2 linked regions of the Lytechinus pictus genome follow. The protein of the gene in region 1 interacts with the protein of each later gene in a biochemical or structural test. Links are inferred from orthologs where the notes say so. Each region holds a gene or a part of one and is shown on either strand. Other genes may lie near its edges.

Region 1 (7,891 bases):
GCTTCATTGCTGAAGTAATATTTGCCGAAACTCCTTCTCGCTACCCACCGGGGCTCTTTCCGGTAAGTAGCAATACACTAAAAAGATTTTAGTCATTATTTGGAAATAATAATAGTACAAAAAGAGCAAATTCGCTTACCTCGGCCTGGAAAGTGACTTCGCTTGTCTCTTCTACGGAAATACAAGGAAGCCCATTGGTGGCGCTAATAAATTTCACAACCTTGATTCAGCTCCTCGGTAATTTTATAACTGTGTCTAAATTCTTTGAAAGCGCAATTCTTATGATTATTTGGCTAATTATGGGCACCAATAATTGAAATACCTTCAAAAACATAATTCAAGATTATTATTGGCGATGATAACACTTATTTGCAAATTATTTAAAACGATGACAAATAAAAAAAAATTGAAAAAAATACACATGCCTGGAACGAAACCAGCAGTACAAGCTTTAACGAACGCCAATAATACGGTATACCAATACAATGAAAAGATTGGACACTGCACGGACTTCGCGTAATGCCTTGCGTCGATTTGCGTGTAAAATAGATTAGGTGCCAAGTCTTTCCCTTGTCGTGTCTTTGATATGAATATAAATCGCGCGCCCTCTTTAGGCGAAAATTGATATCCACGCTGACCAATTTTTATCTCCGTGAAATCTTCACTAAAGATCAAGAAAATATACATATTTTTTTAAAGAAACTTCAAGGAGAAGTCACGGAAGGATCTAAATGATTCGGTAAGTGTCATAGCAGAATGTGAAATACCAGATTATGCGTGATATTTTATGTGGGCAAAAGCCCAGTATATTTTGGATGGGTCGTGTGTGTCGCGTGCATATAACTGATATTCCTTCGCACGCGAGATGATATGAACCCATGGGTGGCCTGGGCCTGGGCCCTGGCATTCGACTAGACTTGAGGACTTTGTGATGATATTTTTTAATATTTTGACATAGTTGACATTTTGACATACCGGTACTTCTTCATCTCGAAGCCTTGAAACCATTTCCATACATGCATAAGCGACACCTATACACCCGGATGGATTTCCCTAGGAAATCCATATTTAGAGGGTGAAATCGGTTAGTGTCTATTTTATTTATCTATGAACCTTCATATGCCTACTGCGTATGAAGGTGTAAAAAGTGTGTTAGTTTTAATAGTAAATTAGAGGTTTCTTTCCAGACCGATCTTGTGTACATGTAGATCCCTCAATCCATTTGTAAACAATGCAAATACAATAGGCTTGACCCTTGAACCGCATCGTTATGACATAACCTTCGATAAGCGATGTTACAAAATGCCGTTTTGAAGAACAATTTATAGATAGAAATTATTATTTAACGAATAATAAAATTTAAAACTTGATTATAAATAAATAAATTATCAAGTTTCAAATTTTATTATTTGTTTTTGCAGGGTAATAGGCCACTTGGCCTTTTTTCCCCTTTAATAGTTGCCAGCCGGGCAACCTATAATATACTAGTAGTGTACAGTGTATTATAGGTTGCCCAGCCAGCAACCAAAGTTAAGTGAGAGCCCTTGATGTACAAAAATTCATTGACCAGTGCAATTTTATAAAGATACATGTAGGGGTATAGGAACATTTTTTTTTTACTTTTTGATATTTTTGAATGACCATTGATAAATGGTGAAAAATGTCCGATCTATTTCTTTTTAGCCTGAGGAAATTGTCTACTTTTCAAAATTTATATCTTCAATTAAAATGTACTCATTGTAATCAAAATGAAGAGTAGATCATCTTCAATATGAAGGAATGATGGGGGATAACCCTACACCAAGGGTTGAAAGTTTCAAGTGTCACTTGGTCAAATCACTATTATGATAGCTCCATCTCATTTTAACTCAAGGTTACAAAGTAGTTAAAAGCATCATTGGAATGTTTAGCATTGTTTAATATGGTTCATTCAAGTTGATCTGTATTATCAAATCTGTGAAAAATGAAATATTGTATAATTCAAACCATAATGAACATGAGAAATAGTGAGGGAGGGACATCATCATCTGTCTCATTTGCATCTCACCGAGTTGTGCATATATCACTGTTTTGTGAATAATAAGCGAAGCTTTCAAATGTCATAACTGACTTGTTTTACATCCGATTTTGATGAAATTTTCAGTGTTACATGCTAGTTTGATTTTTCTCTATTTATTCAAATCAACCTTTTTCTGGGGTGGACTTGACCTTTAAAAATGATTGAAAAGTTATTTTTAAGGTCTGAAATTAAAGACCACTCCTATGAGTTGGATGTCACATGTTCAGGGAGGAATTAATTGTTGTTTCACTTGACAATGAGTAGAAAATAAGAATATTTCATATTTCAGATAATAAATTACAAAAGAAATAGTGAGTGGATGACGTCATCAGTCTCCTCATTCGCATACCGATCAAGATATGCATACATGTATAACTGTTTTGTGAAATTAAGCGAAACTTTAGAATATAATAAATTTCTTACCAGTATTTTACATCTGATTTTGATGAAATTTTTTCATTTTATTCCAATCAACTTTTTGTTGGGGTGGACTTGTCCTTTAATGAAAAATCATGCGTTACCCAATGTTTTTCATCAATATGGGTAATTAGTATTTATATTTAATTAGTACTTTTCATTACATTTGTAGTGGGTTAATTAACTTTAGTATTGGTAATAACTAATGAACATATTTAATTTCAAAGAAATTGATGCATCTTTTAGAAAGTTCTTAGACAATTACAGTTCGAAAAACAGTTGCACTCCTTGATTATAGGCCTATGTATGACCCCCTGGAATAATTTTTGTGGGCAGCAACCTGGGTCTACTGTGTGTGCAGTGCAATAGAAGACATGTTCATTTATCTCTTAGTGGACTATTTTTCTCATGAATTCTGTAATCTGATTGGTCGATTTGTTTGTTATTATTGTTGGTCACAAAGATCAAAAAGGTAATATGAGCCCATATCACCCGTGTTTAGCTGTTGTTGTTTTAATTTTGTTATGCGCATACCCAGTGATGATTTCAACCACGTAGTATGAGACCGTATTATGTGTGTATTCAAGCATTGCGCTACGCACTACTATTTGCGCATCAATTTCAATTGCAAAATACCCATTCTCTTTACTGTGATCATTGTGATGTCATAAATGACTTCCTTTCATATCACTCTCAAAATGCAGGGTTTTTTTAGTACTATTGTACCTTATTCTGCAATAATATAAGGATACCCTTAAAGAGATAAAACTGTTACACCCTGCTATGGCCTGCTTGTTCTTACGAAATACGGGAACAAGCAGGGTGTAACTAATAGTATCACATGCTGTAGAGAGGGAATTGAAATCATTTTTGTTTGATATTTAGAACTGTCCAATATTTGGGCTCTTTACCCTGCATGTGTAATTCTAATGGCCTCAAAATGCAGCCATTCTCATAAAAATTCTTAAATTAATGTCTAATGTGAATGGGTGAGCAGACATGTGTGGCACCATTTCCCCCCCCCCCCCCCCCCATCTGTAAATTTGGAAGTACATATTTGCTCAATTTTTTATGAGATTTTGGCTTTATAAGAAACGATGTCAACTAAAAATTTTCTGAAATTTCAAAGAAATTCATAATTATTCTTAGGTTCAATTTTTAGATGCACAGAAATGCCCCCCCCCCCTCATACCAGCAGGACTCTCACTAGTGCATACTACCAGCAGGGCTTACCCCACCTGTTATGGATTAGATGCTTTTTCGCCCCTGTCATTCTTGATTTTAAGAACATAAACCAACTGGTTCTTAGTCCCAAATCAAGCATCCAAAGTAACGAAATCATTATTTTCTGAAAGAAAATTAAGGAAATGTGACTACAAAGAGACAATCCCTGTAATGAATAAAATTACTATTCATGTGCTACATGTACATTCTAGACTAGCTACAGATGTTAATTTTGTTGAATAAACACCAGATGACATAGTGAGCATGGGAAACACATGCGCTAAAGTTCTTCCATAATTGAAAAATGTTAAGGAATGGTGGCTCGATGCAGATCTATATATACTGCGTGAGTTCTGCTGTCTCTTTGGAGCAGAGATATAGTTGCATCTCTATTAAGTCATACATGTACACATGCTATGAGAGGCTTTGCCTTATGTAAACAATGTCTTGAAAATCACCTTCCCGCCGGCCAATTCTACTACTACCTTTTAAAACTAAGTACGACATGACAATTCAAAATATTTTGACAAAACGATTACATCAAAATTTTACTTTCTTTCCCAAAATGCTAGTCCTATTTTGTTTTTTGAAAAAAATGAGGGGATATTTGCAGCGAGTAGTTCGCCGCCATCCTGGCTTTTATCATGGAAAGCAGTTCCAATATCAACGGCTTGATCGTGTAGCGGAACTATCATGGTTTTGATTCTCTCGCCGAGCAATCAGTCTATCAACTGCGCAATTGTTTTCCATTGCACAGGCTAAGATGGAAGCGTAACCACTCAACGAACATACCATAAATAATCAGTAATAAATGATTGTGACAAAAACATACAATTTATCCCCTAGATCAAGAGATTTTACAAAATATACTTATAAAAAGCACAGATAATTGCAAAGGTTTTTGCTTTTAAATATTTTCTGACAGTCTCCCGAACTATTTATTGAATACAATGTATTGCTTGTAAACTTCTGTAAATTGCTGTCTTGTCAAGGCAAACTACCTGTATGGACAATCATAGTTTGGCAATAAATTGAATTTAGTGAACAGCATCTTTGTGAATCTGCAGTCATGATGTTTGAATTATAAATGAAGTCTTTTATGACAGGATTTAAAAGGTATTTCTCCATTTTCTGATGCAAAAAGATATCAAAGTTTCTATCTTTTTTCAATTCACAGATGTTAATAGAGTCTAGATGCTACTTTGAAGATGTAGTCTGACTGATTCAAGATTCTATGACCAGATAGCTAGTCCCAATTACTTAAATTGCATTCTTTTGTGAGGCTTGTTACTTTGAGGAAGGCAGCCGGTAATCATGCCCGGAGCATTGAAGAAACCTCTCTACATCAGCTCCTCCATTGAGGAACTCAACAAGAAGGTGGACCAGAACATAACCAAGGGACAAACTTCAAAAATGTGAGTAATAAGTTCACATTTGGGGCTAATCGATAATCTTCACATATATCACTTTGGGCATTTTAGCCCTGAGAAATATATTTACAATAAGATAACATGGATGTACCCAAACAATGATCAAGCTCATTGTTCATGAAAATAGGGTTTTTAGGGCTTGTTCACTTTGTCAACTCACAACTTCCCAGAAATCATGCTTTTTAACCCAAACGACAGTCTCATTAAATGCCACTGCAGAAAATGTTATTATATGAAAAGTATAGTATATGTCACATGTATAATTTTCATGAATCATTTGGGTTTTGCTACAAAAATATGCAGTATATTATGTTTCACTCTGACACCAGATTGGCCAGATCAGCTAACAAGGTATTCGTTGAGGCAGAAAAAGCTGATAAAAACCTTGATGAGGAACGTGCCTATGTTCTGTTCATGAAGTACCTCACACTATGGAAAGCTGTTCAGAAGGCAAAAGATTATAAGTCAAACAAGGTAAGTTTAAGTTGACTCTGTTATTATAGGTGAAAGTATCCAATTCTGTAGCAAGTAGTTTTGTTTGTTTTTTTAATAGAGGAGTGAGAGTCTCTTAAATAAACAAAATATTTGAGCAAAGGAGATAAGACATTAAATCTGACAAAGCACCATTGATTAAGTGAGTAAGCATTTACCATCTCAACAACTACTCATGCCTTTCCTTGTATTCTACATTATAAAATTCACTAACATGTGGCATAGAAAAATATGCATTTGAAATATTAACAAACTCTATACATGTATGTACCATTTTTTTCAAAGACTGGATAATATCTACTGAAATCATTTTTAAGGTTTCTTTTATTTATTTTTCTAGGATTATATTGATACTCTCATTGGTAAGGCAGGATGCAGAAAGGCTATAGATAAGGCAGAGGAACTCTCAGCATCATTGACCTTGAGGTGAGAATTCAATGTGATTCCTTAATCATTGGGAGTGTTTGGAGTATTTTTCTTTCTGGAACGAAATATTTCTAGTTCTTCACATTACATGTCAGCTTACTAGTTTTAGCCCAAAATATGTATGTTTACTGTATGCATATTTTTTTTTATAACTCACCTTTTATTCATAAAAAAGGGAATCACAATAATGGGCCCAGGTTACCAGTTCTAAACGAACGTAATACAGGGGGCAACATAAATTGAATACAGTAAAGATAGACATAAACAAACATAAAACAAGATATAATAATTATTTACATATCAAACGCGTCAATTCAATTCATAGCAAAATTTATACTTAAAGTGGTGAGAAGGTGGAAGGAGGGGATGTGCTATCCCGTGGTTTAACTTAGGTTGTTCTTATTTTGAAATGAGGTCATCGTACTAACATATGGAATTACAAAAATATATAAATTATGCAATTATGAATATATGAACAGATAAAGTGTAAATTCACATAGGTAGGCCTTAATCTTGAGTTTATATTTTGTATATGTAACAGGTGTGATATATTAAATTATATGATATATTACTGTCTGGCATATATAAATGAAACAAGAATGGTTGGAATGGGGAAGAATGAGGAAGCAAGGGCTGATGGAAAGGAAATGGTTTGGAATAGGTTGGAAAGAAGAGAAGAAATAGGAAAAGGGGAGAAGAGAATATAGATAAAGAGGTAGAGAGGGGGTGAAGTATAAGGGGAAAGGAATCAGCCCTTACGCCATAATAATCTGAACAGCATAATATTGACGGAAAAATGAGCAAATAATTATCTTTAGATGTACAACAATCATATTGGAGAAATTCAAAATGAGAGTCAGTGAAGAAGTGTCATGTCGGTCCACTGTGGTTCACTCTTTGCATTGTAGATCACGTATGAACCAATTAGTGCTAGTTTACTCATTGTAAGGATAACATCTTTGTATTTCGAGGAAAATACAACTTTCAATCTTATACCTGAATTCTCATAGATTATGTAAGAATTATATATTTTTTTAATTCCCTGAAATTTTCTCCAAATTATGTGTGCAAAAAGCATCTTGAGCTATCACTGTCATATCTTTATTTTCATTATGCAATGCAAGTAGAAAGTTTGTATATGTATAACCTGTTCTTATGTGAGGGATTTTCACAAATTTGAAATTGAAAAAAACAAAAACATAAATTTATCACCATACAAAATATCCTTGCAGCACACTTGTCACAATTTTGTCAAATTTTAATTACTATATCAATGGTGTACAGTACAGTGTAGCTATACTGCCCATATATATCTGGACACTGCATGCATCATGCACCCCATTGATTTGTCGGTGTACCAAGGGTAGCTCGTATTGGTGGGAACATGTATCACAGACATGCCAATATGCAGCAGAAGCCTTCCGACGATAAAGATCTATTTGCAAAAAATATGAGTCATACAGTAATGACCAATAATTATAAAAGGTAATCATTTTCAAATTCCTTGAATTTTCATCTTAAACAAATCATATGTACAGTGAGCTCCTGCAGTGATGGATAATGATTATGATAAATAAGTTATCATTTCCAAATTCCCTAATTTTTAATCGTATTACACAGGTACAATGAGCTAGAGGAAGCAAAGGAAGCAAGTAAGAAACTAGAAGAGGAGAAGGAGAAAGTGAAAACAAATGGTTTGAAGGATGGCAAGTCCAAAGATGGAGAGGAAGGTTCAGTGGAGAATGGAGTTCCAGAGGAGGAAAAGAAAAGAGAATTTGGTAAGATAAAGATGAAATTAATACAGCCCTTACAATTAGCAAAAGAGCCCACTTAAAACTCTTTG
Region 2 (7,835 bases), on another chromosome or scaffold:
TCTTCTCTTTTCATTCTCTCCTTCCTCTCTTTTATCATTTATTCTTTCTTTATTTTCTTTTTTTTCCTTTTTGCTTTTCCCTTCCTTCCTGTCTTCTTTCTTTTTCTCAAAGAATGAAGGAAACATTTTTCTTTCCTTCCTTCATTCCTTCATTCATCCTCAGTCTTTTTCTTACCTTCTTTTTTTCTTTCTCTTTATTTCTTTCAAACATTCATTCATCATCCCTTCCTTTCTTTTTCTTTTTAAGAATGAAGGAACCTTTTTTTTCCTTTCCTTTATTATTTCTTTCATCCTTCTTTTATTCTAACTTTCTTTTCACTGTTTTTTTTCCCTTCATTTTCTTTACTTCATTATTCCCCTACATTTTTTCTTTCTTCTCCATTCATCTCTTTTCTTTCTCTCCTTCATTCTTTATTTCACCCATTTGTTCACCCTCCCTTCCTTTCCTTTTCTTTCTTTATATTTTTATTTCTCTCTTCATTTCTTTTATAATTAATTTCAGTGATTCCTTTTTTATTTTGTGCCACGGTCACAAAAGTACATGAAAATATATGAGAGAGGAAATCATTCAAATGGCATATCAACACACTAATTTTGGTCATGGCCGGCAAGATAAAATCACTTTGAAAAAAAAAATATAATTTTACAAATACAAGGTACATCAGTTCATGTTAAAAACAGGAAAAAGGCAATGGTACATGTCCATAGAAGAGCAATTCTTTCCTTTAAACGGTAATATCCTGTTTTGAAATATTTTTTGGGGGGCAAGTGAAATATATATTCGGGCAAGTATTGTCCAACTATTTAGAAATAAAAAGATGTTATGTAGCACCCTGTACAAGTTTTAATACATTTGACATCTAAAAAAAAGGATACCGAAAAAAAAAGGCCTTTGATGCCCTTCTTGGAAAAAGATTTTGGCCTTGGTGCCCTTTGAAGTGGCCTTGGTGCCCTAAAAAATATGAGGTATTTCAAGGCCAAACTGGCCTTGCCCTAAAAATGACAAAATTTAAGGCCTGGTATCGATAGCGATAACGATATCCGGTCACATTGTCTACGCGGGAAATGGTCTTGGTTCGTGATCGGATCACTCCAGTATCGATTGAAAATTATCGAAACTCTGCAATTTCATGCATATTCACGCGACGCTCTGAAACCCGGAAATCCATTGACTTTGTGCACGTTGCGATAGACTGTACAGACTCCAACGAACACGATGCCATATCGACGCTGATTCGTAAGATTTTGACGGAAACGCAAGAAGTAATCGAAATTTGCTTACCTGTGCGGTATCGGTGAGAAAATAGATCCTCCGAGAATACCTTTCATAATTCATATAGAATATAGGAAAGTGAAATTCTAGGTCGATTTTGGTACGAAGTGATAGAGAATTGCACACTTGTTTTGGTGGAATACTGTGTGGGGGAATGGAAGGATTGCACTGCGCATGCTTACTATATTTTCATTCATAAATTGTCTCTCGGCAGTGGTTGGATGACGTCATTTTATTAATAAGCAAAATGTACGCGCCCGCTAGCGTTGAACGCTCCGCTATCCGTTTTACACAATTTGCCGATGTGACTCGTTAATGAACAAGGTTATAACTATGGGCTTGGCCTTGAAAAAAAATACTTGCGTCAGCTGATATCATGAGTCGTAAAATACTATGAAGTGATTTCACGATATTTATCGGCCGACGCAAGTATTCTTTTAAATCTAAGTTGGCACTGCTCATGATATTGTCACCCTCTATACGCGTCTAGTATCTTTGGCTACGATAGCAAAGATGGCAAGATGGCGACAATAACATATATGTAAGTAAACGCTCCTCTACTTTTAATATTTTGATGTATTCAAGCGTTATCTTATGACAGGCGCGTAGCCAGGGGGGCAGTGGGGGCGGTCGCCCCCCCAAAAAAAAAAAAAAAGAAGAGGAAAAGGAAAAAAAGAAAAAGCAAAAGGAGAAAAGGGAAGAAAGGTATAGCTTTTGTTGTTTTTTCCTTCTTTTTTGGTCAAAAGAATAACCTAAACGAGACGTTCTCTCTTCATGCTATAAATTTGCTTCCGCGCTCCTCGCGGGAAAAATATCAAAATTGCCATTCCCTTTTGTTTCCCACACCTTTTCTCTACTCCGTTTTCCCCCTTCCCGGCCGTGGAAATCGTATATTATTGCCAGAAATTATAAGTATACATGGGTGTAGAGTATGAAAAGTATTTTTTTTATATATTGCATTGATACAAAATTTTGGCTCTTCTGTTCGGAGCGGGTAAACATTACTGTCACTACCGAGTCCCCAAATGATTTTTTCTTCCGCTTTTCAGCAAGTAATTTTTGGCAAAGTGTCTGCTCCAAGGGAGAGGAAATAAATTCGTGCCGTGCTAGTTGCCATAGTATGAACGATATTAAGCTTTATTCTATATCGCTGCACATCCGTCTCCTGCCTTGTTTTGCGTCATTGAATTGAAATTTTGAATATCACTGAACTTTCTTAATAAAAAAAAGGAGGCGCTTAATACGAGCGAAATTTTTTTCTTCCAAAATAAATCACAGAGGTTTCCGTGCTTCGCGAGCATGGGAAAGGAAATGTCCCTCCTCTAGCTTGCATCATCCCTTTCACATTTTGAGCTCGTTTTTCTTCATAAATGAGCTATATATATAATCTAAGAAATATCAAAATTAGAACAGGTTAAAGTTTCAGATAAATTTCAAAAAATCAAAGCGTTTGCCTTTAGCAGGAAGGAATAGGGCCTATTTTCTTCTGTATATACCCATTTTCTACTCTGTTTTGCGACTTGAGTTAACAAAATTTAATGTTGATAAACCTTTTACACTCAAATCTGATGTGACCAAGATAGGCATATCATTTATGTTCTCTATTTTTATAAAACGTTTTAAGCTTCAAAGAGGAATTATTTCAAATTCTCCAATCTTTCCCCATTTTGGGGGGAGCTCATAATTTCTTTCGAAAACAATTTTTTTTAATCACAGCAACTCTATTTGAGTTGATAAGGGTACTAGAGATGCAAGAGACGCCTTCTTTTGATTTGAATTTGATGAGATATCAAAAACTTCACGCTCCGCGCGGGAGGGGGGAAACTCCCCCTCCCTGCACCCTCCCCCCTAGAGAGCGCACCACTTGGCATGCACTTACCACCCCCTCAAAATTTAAATCCTGGCTACGCGGTTGTCTTATGACAAAAACTGACAATTTTTTGTCAAAAGTTGCCAACCAATATTGTTGCCAATTTACATAAGTTGGGCTCAAACCCCTAAGGATAACTCGTATTTTGGCGCAACATTATTGTTGCCGAATTCGTCGGTGCGTGTAGAGCAATGGCATGCCGTCCCAGGCTTCATGGAGAGTAAGCCTTCGTCAGTAAAATGACTTTTGCTCTCCTGGGGCTCGTTTCTCAACACCGTCATAAGTCTAACTTCTTGACTAAATCGGAGATAGTGAGCTACTTGTCCGCTAACCGTTTCACGAAGCCCTCTTTACCAAGATCGGGTACAACAACCTCACTAAACACCTCCGAACTTGTCTTAACTTCTTTCTCAATGACGTAGTGGCATTACGTGGGTAGACTATGACATGCGAAAGTGCCTGGAAATTTTGAAATTATAATCTTACGTAATCAATCATAGTCATTGAATGCATTAACCCACTTGTTTTGTGATGTTATTTCAACCACTATGATAGTGGTTGAAATAACATCACAAAACAAGTGGGTTAATGCATTCAATGATAATTGTAATACAAAGAAACTATAAAAACTGTTGGTAAACGCCACAAAACCATTCATTTTGAAATAGTAAAACGATTTAATCGATAAAGATTCTACCACGTCAGGCCATCCATAACTGAACTCGTATTTGTTGTTTTCAGACCCCTATTAACAATTGGATGAATTCTATCTCTAATTTATGCATATAATTTGTCCAATTCATCATAATATTTGCAATTTTGTCATAATTTTTCTTTTTGAAAATTATGCTATTTTGTGACTAAGGCTACGTCTCGTCTGCTCTTTTTACCGATAGTATCGATATCAAGGTATTCTAGTTAGAAGCCTTTCGAGAAACAGGTTTAGTAAGATTGGAACTAACTCCGTGGTTGGTGGATAAAGATATGACTAACTTGTCCATGTGTTGAGAAACGGGCCCCAGAAGCCTCCAGGCTACTTACTAGCCACAAAACACGATCTCACCCCCACTTCGCTATAATCATGACAATACAAACTGCATGACTTCACTTGACTTCATTTGATCGAATCAAGAACGCCACTAGCGCAAGCTTTATTTTAGCGAAGTACCAACTAACGTAGAAGGCAGCACACGACTGTGTGTTGCTGCCCTCTACATTCGAAGATGTACAGCACGATATCAAAATGTCGGATAGGCGAAAGATGTTGACTGCTCAAAACGATGTCCAAAAAGCCCAAAACTTATCGATAAAACTTCATCCAACCCTAAAATAATGCAAATAACGTGAAAGGTGAGGATGTATTTATGCTAAATATGTTTGTGTAAAAATGTTATGTAACCATTTACATCCGAAGAATGCGGATTTTAAAGTGTTCTTGGTACAGTGGCAGATACAAATTTTGACCAACGCGAGTATGTGACATCGCTATAATGGATAAAAAATACGTATTGATTATTTTCTTTTGTCGATAGTTATCGATATCGGTAAGATATTTTTAGTGCGATATCGACAGAGAATTTTCCTAATGATAACAGCCCTAATAAGCATATTATATTTGTTTATTGTCTTATTTCAGATAAAGTGACAAGTGAATCTAATACTGCAGAGGACTGGGGACTTATTCTTGACATCTGTGACAGAATTAAGGCAAATTCTAATGCGTAAGTATTATCTAAAATCAAAGTATTAACAAATGTAATGACTGGATTGCTTATAGCACATTAATGAAATTTAAATGTTGAATTTGATATTATAGTGGCTTATTCCACCCAGGTGAAACCAAACAAACGTTATATTTATTCCTTTTCCCAAAGCTCTCCAAAGATGAAAATACCTGCAGCTGAGGTGGAAAATTGTCTTCAATGGTGTAGCGATTAAGTACTCGCGGCACACCTGGTTCAAGACATTTGTAGAAATTGATGTTAAAGGCTGAAAGTAATCCAATTTTGATTGACCTCAATGCCCCTCTTATTGGCCTTAACCCTATCTAGGCCGGGGTATTTTGGGAGTTCATATGGCCGGGGGGGCCTCCCAGGCCCCCCCTTGAGATCTTGGCTGTCGACCGCGCGATCGCACCGAAAATTGGCATGCGGGTTGTCTAGGACATAATCTACAAAATTGTATAGTAATTTATTTCATGCGAATTATTATTAATGCGTAATTAGTATGCAAAATCTTACTTTTCCCTCTAACTCCCCAAATAAAGCTCCAAATGTTCTACTTTTTGGTATAGAAACTCTATGGTGTTCTGAGCAAGTGTACTTGAAAAAAATTGCGATATCAAATCATTTTCTTATGTATTATATTGTTTTTTGCAATTTCTTATGTATTTCTCTGTTTTTTTACCTTTTGTTTTTCATTGTTTTTTCAATGAAATTTGTTGGGGACTCTTCTGAGATCATAAAAGCATAAAATAAATACATTTAGACCAGCAAAACTAATAACAATCATACATTTATGAATTTTGGTTGAAAACACAATTTGCATTGATTTTGTACACAAAACCACGTTTTTGAGCAATTTTTGGTCTGACATGCTCTTACATAATGTTGCGTAATTTCGGAACCACGTACCCGGGTGAAGCAAAATTGGTCTCAAAAGTTGCGCAAGACTTGAAAGTAAAAAGTCAGTGAGCGGCACGTGAAAAAAATATCGCGCGATTCATTGAGGGGGGGGCCTCTGAGGCCCCCCCCCCCGGCCTAGATAGGGTTAAAGATTGTTGTGTCTTTTTTTCCCCTTTTTTTCTTTCTATTGTGCTGATATGTCATACTATACTTAAGTGGCCTTGCCCCCAAAATATTGAAAATTAAGGCCTGTGAGTTCACATATGATATACATGTAAGCCACTTTATTTTTCGTAAACTACATGTAAATGCAGTTATACAGTGGTTTTACATAGACATACATTTAGGCTAGAGATCATGTCTGCAAATCCATAAAGTAGAAAAAGTTTGATAAATTGACAAGAATACAAGAAGACTGACCTTAATTTGTATTGAGCAAAGCAAAAGTCTGTGCTTCATGTGTATTCAGGAGGAACATGCATAGCATCCTGGTTTCACAGTACAGTATTTTGTTTCTGCAGAATGAGGGGAGGGGGGTGGGGGAGATAAGCAAGTGTAGGAGGGAGAGCAGTACTGGTATTTAGACTCCACTAAAGACGTATTTCAGATTGCAATAAAATAAGCATTAAATATCAGTGCATTACATGTATGAAACCATGGAGAGTATTGATTTATGTTCACGTTTATGCTGTTAAAAAGAATTTAAACATAAATCTTTTATTCTCAGGCCAAAAGACGCTTTCAAGTCGATTATGAGGAGATTAAAGACCCCTAATCCACATGTCCAGTTGCAAAGTTTAGTGGTGAGTCAGTGTTCTATTCAGCACCTTTATGATTGAAGTTGAAAATGTCAAAATTAGAAACAAACAAATATCTACTTAACAACTGAATGTGAAAATAATCTTTTGATTATAATTCCACAGGGTGAAAATATGTTCGAAAAATTTATGAAATTCATCATAATTATACATTCATGTAAATTCTTCCTCTTACATCCCCAGTTATGGTAAGCTATTTTGGTATGTGGCTAGGAAGATTCTCTCAGGTCCCCTTAGCAAAATGGGGACACAAAATTAGGCTCCCATTGGTAGAAAATATAAGTTGTTACTTTGAGCGAAAAAATGTGGAAATGGAATACATATTTATTACATAGATTGTTACGTGTTTACACAAAATATATAAAAAGGCATCAAGTTACCAGAAAATGATGGAGTAGAAAAAGAATAAAGATAAAAATAGTAAGATAAAATGAAAATGGAAAACAAACAAAAAGACAGAGAGGGGGGGGGAGGGGTCAAGGGATAAATACTAGAGAGTATAAGAAAGAAAGAATAGAAAAACATAATTATAATTTAGTGTGTATGATACTAGCATGAATACCAGGAAGCCTATTTTGAAGTCAAAATATCAAAGGTCAAGGTCACAGTGACATGTTTTCATCTTACCCTTCTGAAGTCCTTGTAAATGCGATAACTTCATTTGAACTTAACCTAGGCTCATATAATTTAGTGTGTATGATACTAGTATGGATCCCAGGAAGCCTTTTGATTTTGAGATCAAAAGGTCAAGTTCACACTGACATGTTTTCATCTTACCCTTCTGGAGTCCTTGTAAACGCGATAACTTCATTTGAACTTAACCTAGGCTCATATAATTTAGTGTGTATGATACTAGTATGGATCCCAGGAAGCCTTTTGATTTTGAGATCAAAAGGTCAAAGGTCAAGTTCACACTGACATGTTTTCATCTTACCCTTCTGCAGTCCTTGTAAACGCGATAACTTTAGTTGAACTTGACCTAGGCTCATATAATATGGTGTGTATGATACTAGCATAGATCCTCGCAAGTCTAGATTGATTTTGAGATGAGAAGGTCAAAGATGAAGTTGCCATCTTCCACTTCTCTTGCTTGACGAATGACTCCATTTTCCGTGTTACAGACAGGCGTATTATGTGCTCGCCTTAACGACACTCTTGTTTTAAATAAATTCACAACTTTTAATGTATAAGGGCCTATTTCTTGGACGTAATCAAGTATCACTGACCATCTGGTATGAGTTTTGGGTCAC

The links.
Region 2: the proteins of ubiquitin carboxyl-terminal hydrolase 8-like (region 1) and signal transducing adapter molecule 1-like form a complex in vitro, tested with the Homo sapiens proteins (2 studies listed by BioGRID). The link is inferred for Lytechinus pictus from reciprocal best matches to the Homo sapiens genes USP8 and STAM.

The regions. Positions count from the first base shown.
Region 1 is NC_087247.1:24,369,065-24,376,955, forward strand, and holds the start of ubiquitin carboxyl-terminal hydrolase 8-like, read left to right. Parts: upstream 1-4,876; 5' UTR 4,877-5,014; coding exon 5,015-5,115; intron 5,116-5,459; coding exon 5,460-5,604; intron 5,605-5,962; coding exon 5,963-6,048; intron 6,049-7,668; coding exon 7,669-7,826; intron 7,827-7,891. UniProt on the Homo sapiens protein: Hydrolase that can remove conjugated ubiquitin from proteins and therefore plays an important regulatory role at the level of protein turnover by preventing degradation. Converts both 'Lys-48' an 'Lys-63'-linked ubiquitin chains.
Region 2 is NC_087245.1:5,553,288-5,561,122, forward strand, and holds the start of signal transducing adapter molecule 1-like, read left to right. Parts: upstream 1-4,752; 5' UTR 4,753-4,864; intron 4,865-6,494; 5' UTR 6,495-6,519; coding exon 6,520-6,570; intron 6,571-7,835. UniProt on the Homo sapiens protein: Involved in intracellular signal transduction mediated by cytokines and growth factors. Upon IL-2 and GM-CSL stimulation, it plays a role in signaling leading to DNA synthesis and MYC induction. May also play a role in T-cell development.